Linked DNA regions of Mus musculus. The protein of the gene in region 2 purifies or fractionates together with the protein of the main gene of each other region. This does not show direct contact. Links are inferred from orthologs where the notes say so. Each region holds a gene or a part of one and is shown on either strand. Other genes may lie near its edges.

Region 1 (3,822 bases), on a different chromosome or scaffold from region 2:
ATCCAAAAAACAAAAATTCAAAGATGAAAAGAGAGAGAGCACCGTGGCAAGGAGGCTTCACCTGAAACCTTCAGGGACAACTGAAGCCTGAGTTGACTGCAGACTGCCTACAATCATGTACCAATGTCACTGCAGACCTACCATCACCATTAATTAAAGCTTTCATGGACACCGGGCTCGGCAGGGAAAGGCACCGCTGCCACACTGGTGGCCTGACTTTCATCCTAGAAACCATACTATGCAGTAGAATGGAAGGCCAGCCCCACCAAGCTATCTCTGACACCACAATAAAACAATGTGATGAAAAACGTGACAACAGCATCAGCAAGCAATCCACACGACTGTCTTCTCCACTTTAGCATGTCTAAATGGTTTCTAAAGAACAGTATTTCAGGCATGGTGAGTGGAGCACACCTTCAATCCCAGCAATGGAAGAGGCAGAGGCAAGAGGATCTCTGTAGGTTCAAAGCCAGCCTGGTCTACAAAGTTCCAGAACAAGCCGAATCATGCCTTGGAAAAAAATATATATCAAAAAACAAAACCTTTTAATTGTTTAAATTTTAATTTTGTTCTGATATTTAATTTTTGGCAAGGAAATATGGATTGTTGAGAGCTAAACAAAGTTTAAACTACATTTCCAAAAATAACTTCTGTACAACTTCTACACTTACCACAGCTTCCATATCTGAAATGTTTGGTGGAGCAAAAATTGTCTGTACCATGAACTTATGTTTACTCTTTTCATTCGGATCATAATCAAAGGGTTGCAGCATTACTAAATAAACAGAGAAAGCACACTGTCATCTACAGTTTACGTCCTATTTAATACCACCACACTAACACACAAACTTAATGCATACCAAGATGGGTTCAAAAACTTAAATTATCCTCAAGAGGCACAAGCAGCCTTTTAACTTTCAATTATTATTAAATTCATTTTGTGTTGATTTTAATTTAGATAACTTAGACACTTTTAATATAACTTATTTTTAAACTGGATTTTAAACAATTACTCAGAATGTGTTCATTTGTTTAAATCTAATTTTAAGAAAACAAAGGATAACTGATTGGTCTTTAGACTTTATTCCCAGATCCCAATAGCATTCACTTTTACGTCTCCAGACCTGAGTTGCCTGTACCAAGTTTTAAGGCTCCAGTTCAATTTATGTTACGTAAATCCAAGATGAGGTGATAAACAAATCAGTAATTACTAATGTATATTGGATACATTTACAGTCAGGTTCTACTTCTAAACAGTCTCACTGAGCCTTAAATAACTTACTATTTTAATATTCTATAAACTTGAAAATAAAAGCTGTAGTTATCTTAAAATTTAGGGATCACCTAAGTTATCAGGTCACCAAGAATTTTAATACACACATTTCTAACTCCATGATCTGTAATGACATAATCCATTTTTCCTGAGCCTTTTGTAATTAACAAATGCAGGAGTTGAAAGCTATTGTTTTTTTTGTTTTGTTTTTTTTTAAAAAAAAAAAAAAAGGAGTAAGTCTGTGTGAGCACAGAGAGGTTTTCCCACAAGTTAAAGTCTCATGGAGCCACACATGCTGTCAGACCTGCCACCTATGGCACGTGTTACAAAGTACTGTCTCCTTGGAAAGGCTGTCTAAGAAAGGAACATTTGGATAGCACAGTAGATCTCACAGCAGGAATACGTGATGTGTATGGAAGGAACTACTGTAAGCAATAAACAAGGAACAAGACACTGTTGTCATTTACACTGAAAGGAATAAAAACTCATCTGATTTTAAAAGTAGGCCCAAAACAGGCATTTTTTTTTTAAGACTCAAACGCTTCTGTAGATGCACAGAACATGATTTAATCACAAAACAGTGCCATTTCAAAGATAAATAAGAACACAAGCTACAGTGGAAAGCTGTGGAAATACAGAATAGATAACATTTCAAATTGACCCTAGGCAATCATACACTCCCACGTAAGTCTCGAGGAGGAAAGGTTCAATAAAATGTCTGTACGGTAAGATACCCAAGGAACATCTTTACACAAACACTGAAGCCAAATAATAAACAGATAAAAACACTAAACATCAAATGCAACAGTCATGAAATGTCAATATTCAAACCTACAAAGGTCTAGGACATGGAGTACTACCTGAAACAGTCACAATTGACCCCGGGTCAATAATCCCACTGTTGGGCCGCACACAGTACCGGCGAGGTGCTGTAGTCTTCACTTTGAAACACACTTTTCTATCCGATGGATTTTGCAATTTAAGATTTGTAGTGACTACATCTGTGAAGGGGCCTGAAAGGTAAGGGGCAGACAGAGAAAAGATTAACTGGAGTCACAACAAAAGCATAATTCAAGATTAAGTTAATATAATCTCAATCCCACTTTTCTAAAGAAAACAAAAATTGTCTCTCTTTTTTTTCAACTTTTGATGATTTCATCCATAAAATAACTATGATTTTTGTTCTTTAATTTTGGTTACATTTATCATGTTTGTGTTGCACATATGAACATGTACATGTCACAGTACGTATGTGGAGATCAGAAGACAACTTTTTACAACTGGTGCCCTCCTTTCGTTATGTGGGGTCCAAAAATCCAACTCCAGTCCTCAGGCTTAGCAACAAGGATCTCCATCCAATGAGCCATCTTGTCAGCCAAACTGTACTCATATAGCATGTTCATAACACATCACATGACTGACACAAGTCCCCCAGTGGTCTTCACCAGTGCTAATCTTTACGTTCACAGGCCAACTACAAAACTAAAACCTGACAGTACTCACTTGTCTCAATTCATTCATGCACGTGTATTAAGTACTTATGAGTGGTATGTCATATGCTCTATCTAAATACGAAGTCTTGTCTTAAAGCTTTAATTCTGTACTCAACAAAACGAATTCAAAAAGCTGACCCAGCTCTACTTAACCAGTATATCCTCAGTTTTTTGTTTTGTTTTTAAAACGGGCTGTGAGATGTGAAGATAAACTTATTTGGTTTCATCTGAAAAGCCAAAACAGATTATACAGTCTAAGTTTCACAGCAAGAATTTCTTGTTGATTTTGAAGGCATTTTAATTGTTTTAATGGTCTTGTAATGGTTTTCTTGTTTAATGGTTTTAAATGGCCTTTTAAACATCTATTTTATGCTTTTGCTTTTTATTTGTCAAAGGAGTGATATTGATGATCTTAACTAGAGCACTAAGAAGACTACTGGAGCATGGCTACAGTCCCACATTCAACCACCAGCACCAAAAAGGGAGGGAAAAGTCAAGAAGCCTGAAGGAAAAGACATTATAAAAGCCTTCCTATTTTTATCTAGCCTTTTTCATTCCCTTATTTGTCACTTAGACTGTATGTCTACATGCACAGCATCATCAGGATCAATGCTTTCCTACCATGTGGGTTCAAGGGATTGAACTATTTTCAAGCTTGGCTGCAAGCTCCCTGAACCAGAGTCACCTTCTAACCTGTTTGAGTCATAAACAAAGACTATGTTTTTTAAAACTTTGCAACAGTCATACTTTGAAATCTAGATTTAGAAAATTCACCAACCATGTACAATAAACTTTGAGTGTTGGTAAACTGTCTGAGACAAAGACTTTTTAAAGACAGACTAAATGTGCCTAATGCCTAACATGAGAAAAAAAACAATTTCACAAAAGTGGGAAAATTTAAAACTTAGTTCAAGCCTTGAGAAATAAGCTTTTACTTGGAGTGCCTGTTTCATTTTATGCCACTCCTTTCTTCTGTAGGCGATCTTATACTCTTTGCTGCTACCCAATTGTTGGTTTCTGATCAATAGATGGTGTCAGTGCCCATAAATCATGACT
Region 2 (3,822 bases):
GTGCAAGTATGAGCGTCTGAGTTTGGGTTTCCCAGCAGCCTTGTGAAATCCAGGGGCAGTGGCGTCTTTAACTGCAGTGTGGGGAGCAGGGGTAGGGAGACAGAGACAGGCAGATACCTGGAGCGCACTGACAAGCTAGCCTAGATGAATCTGTGAACTCCGCTCATTGAGAGAGCTAGTCTAAAAAATAAATGAAAGGCAATACAGGAAGAGCTCTGACATCGCCTGTGGCCTTCACGTGTGTGCACACAGTCAGAGGCACAATAGGTACTCACCTGTACGATTATGTAGGAAGCAGACGCAAGAGGATCAGGAGTTCAGAGACAAGTTCAAGTCCAGCCTGGGCCATTTCAAAACACTTCTAAACAAACAAAAGTTACCAAGTATTAATAGGCATGTAGCCTGGGCTGTAGAGTGGAGCTCTCCTCCATCATCTCAAAAACCCAAAGACCATAAACCCTAGCAATAAATATGCAATTGTGTGAGCAGTCATTAGGAACTGGTGATATGGAAGTACACATTTTCAATTTCTAGGTGTTATTGATTACAATACAGAATGCTTTTGGTGGCACTGTGACTGCCTGAGAAGGTAGAGTTTTTACGCATATCTAGGGTCTCTCTTCAATCACAGATCTTCTCAGGCACAACTGAATAGCAAAATACAGTTCACAGTGGTTAGACTTGACGTGGTGTGCATTCACCTTTAAATTTTACTTTATGGCTTTAGCTTAAACAAGCACACATATTTCATCCTTAGATCCCTTGAATTTTGGGTTGGAGAAATGGCATAGCAGTTAAGAGGGCATACTGCTCTTAAAGAGGACCTGAGTGTGGGTCTCCGGTTGGGTGGTTACAACCCCACATTCAGGGAATCGATGGACTCAGGCCTTTCCTTGCACCTGCACACTCACAGTCGCATCAACAGACACACTGACTGCCTGCCTCCCTCCCTCCCTCCCTCTTTCTTTTTCTTTTTCTCTTTCACACACACACACACACACACACACACACACACACAAATTTTTTTTTCAATTAATAAAAAGCAAAACCTGAATTTATCAAGACTTGGTGGCTTATGCCTGTACTCCCAAGACTTGGGAGGCTGAGTTCAAGGCCAGCTTGCCTTATATGGTGAGAGACTTTGTCTCAAAACAAACAAAAAACACTTAATATTGTAGATGTGGTGATTCCCAGGTCTGGGTCAAAGATAAATTTATTCAGGGGACATTTCTGGCTCTTTTTGAAAAATATTGTTCCTGAAAAATAAGTATATTTTAGCTGGGCATGTCAACATACTTCTCTGGTCTCAGTACCTAGAAAGCTAGACAGGAGAACTGGCACAAGTTTGAGGTCTGGGTTACGTGGTGAAGGCAGGGTTAACCAGGGTTACACAGAAAGATGATGTCTCAAGCCAAACAAAGAGTAAACAGAAACACATGTTACATATGTCACAGGACTACCGTCTGCTAATCCCAGAGTTATGGTCTCCCCAAAGGGAATTTATTTCTTGGCTTAATGATGGGATTTGTATTTTCAGCAGGGTTTTGCCTACCCTCTGACTATTTAGACTCAGTATAAATGTCTCCAAGGCTGACTTGTTTTTCTCAGTAGGCGTTAATGAGTACCTTTAATAGTGGACTCTGCTTTCTCCCACATCAAGGAACCTGAAGACATCAATGCAGATGATGAGGTAGAGGACACCTGTGACAACAAGGAGGATGACCTGGGGGCCGTGGAGGAGCAGCGCAGTGTCATCCTGCACCTTCTGTCACAGCTCAAGCTGGGCATGGACTTAACCAGAGTAAGTGACAGGTCAGCGCCTGGGAGGCCAGGGCTCTGTACCTCAAGCCTCAGACTGACAGGAGACAGCCCCGTGGGGAGCTTCATGGCTGCCATCCTTGCACAGGTGAAACCAAGGCAGGAAGATGGCCAGCCTGAGCTACTTAGGAGACATCTGTCATAAATAACCTGAGATTTGGGTTCCATGGAAAGCTGTAAATGTAGAGGTGAAAGATTGTTTTCCATACATACCTGTCAGGGCACTTTAAACAGAAAGCCTTTTGTCTTTAGAATTGACTCTACATCACTGAAAAGTCAAAACTGTTCTTTGTTCATTTGTTTGTCTGGGGGGTGTTGTGCTTGGTTGGTTTTAGTTTTTTAACTTAGACTTGCACACTTGATAGGAGCCTTTTCTTTTGAACCTGTGTGTGTCTATATGATGTGTGTGGTGCTACAGGCAAGCGTCCGTTCTTTCCTTCCAGCATACTTTAGAGGGGTCAAACTCAGGTGGCCAGGCTTGCAGTGCGACACTGCAGGACACACTGTCAAGAGAGCTGCTTACTAAAGTTTTCATGAGCAGTGAAGAGGTCCTTACCTACAGCTTTTTGTTTTGTTTGATTAAGACAGTGTCTGTTTGTGTAGCCCTGTATCTCAGTTTGCTCCTCTGTTGCTGTGATAAAACAATGACCAAAACTAACTTGGAGAAGAGTTTATTTCCGATTACAGCTCATAGTCTGTCATGAAGATAAGTTGAGACGGAAACCTGCAGAGGGGAACTGGAGCCCAGGCTGTGGGGGAGTGCTGCTTACTGCTTATTCCTCGTGGCTAGCTTAGCCTGCCTTCCTATACCATCCAGGATCACCTGCCCAGGGATGGTACCTCCCACAATGGTCTAGGCCCTCCTAAATCAATCACTAATCAAGAAAATCCCCTATAGACTTGCCTACAGGCCAATCAAATAGAGGCATTTTCTCCATTGAGGTTCTTTCTTCCCAAATGATCCTGGCTTGTGTCCAGTTTATAAAAACGAACTAGCAGGACTGGTGAGATGGCTCAGTGGGTAAGAGCACCCGACTGCTCTTCCAAAGGTCCAGAGTTCAAATCCCAGCAACCACATGGTGTCTCACAACCATCTGTAACAAGAACTGACTCCCTCTTCTGGTGTGTCTGAAGACAGCTACAGTGTACTTACATATAATAAATAAATCTTTAAAAAAAAAAAAAAAACGAACTAGCACATACTGGCTGGCTCACGTTTGAAGGAATGCTGCCTCATGCTCACGAGTGCCTTGATTGTAGGTGTGTGCTGCCATGCTCAGCTTCGCACAATTTATCTTTTTTTGTTGTTGTTGTTGTTTTGTTTTTGTTTTTCGAGACAGGGTTTCTCTGTATAGCCCTGGCTGTCCTAGAACTCACTTTGTAGACCAGGCTGGCCTCGAACTCAGAAATCCACCTGCCTCTGCCTCCCAAGTGCTGGGATTAAAGGCGTGTGCCACCACGCCTGGCACAATTTATCTTTAAAGAGAAAAGGGGGTGTGGGCTGGAGTGAATGCCCGAGCAGTAAAGAGTGGGTACCGTTCTTGCACATGACTTCCGTTTGGTTCCCAGAACCCTCGTTAGGCAGCTTAAACCCATCTTTAATTCAGGGGACATGAAACCCTGCTCTGGCTTCCACTGGGCTTCCACTTGCCTGTACAATATAGACATAGAGTTAAAAAAATAAAATTAAATCTTTAAATAAAAAAGAAAGGAGAAGAAAAGATAAAAAAGAAAAAAAAAAAAGAAAGGAGAAGAAACCATGTTTTATCTAATAGTTTGGTAGTGTGCTATGTGTTGATATATTCACGCACCCTGGAATCTGAGAGCCTTAGGAAGAGGGTCAGACACAGCCCCGGAACAGTCCTTGCTGCTCTGGAACTCACGTCAGTCCTTCTGTCTGTTTTTTCATCTTGAATTTGTATTTAATCTTAACCATTCAGGCAGAGCCTCACCTCCTTTTAAACATGCTAGGGCTTCTTCCTGCTTGAGTTGTTTTTGTTTTTG

The links.
Region 1: the proteins of Osbpl11 (region 2) and Vapa purify together in Homo sapiens (co-immunoprecipitation; 4 studies listed by BioGRID and IntAct, counting the BioPlex papers as one, with this or other methods). This does not show direct contact. The link is inferred for Mus musculus from reciprocal best matches to the Homo sapiens genes OSBPL11 and VAPA.

The regions. Positions count from the first base shown.
Region 1 is NC_000083.6:65,592,769-65,596,590, forward strand, and holds part of Vapa (vesicle-associated membrane protein-associated protein A), read right to left. Parts: intron 2,287-3,822; coding exon 2,134-2,286; intron 776-2,133; coding exon 672-775; intron 1-671. UniProt on the Homo sapiens protein: Endoplasmic reticulum (ER)-anchored protein that mediates the formation of contact sites between the ER and endosomes via interaction with FFAT motif-containing proteins such as STARD3 or WDR44.
Region 2 is NC_000082.6:33,222,880-33,226,701, forward strand, and holds part of Osbpl11 (oxysterol-binding protein-related protein 11), read left to right. Parts: intron 1-1,660; coding exon 1,661-1,801; intron 1,802-3,822. UniProt on the Homo sapiens protein: Plays a role in regulating ADIPOQ and FABP4 levels in differentiating adipocytes and is also involved in regulation of adipocyte triglyceride storage. Weakly binds 25-hydroxycholesterol. Interacts with OSBPL9 to function as lipid transfer proteins.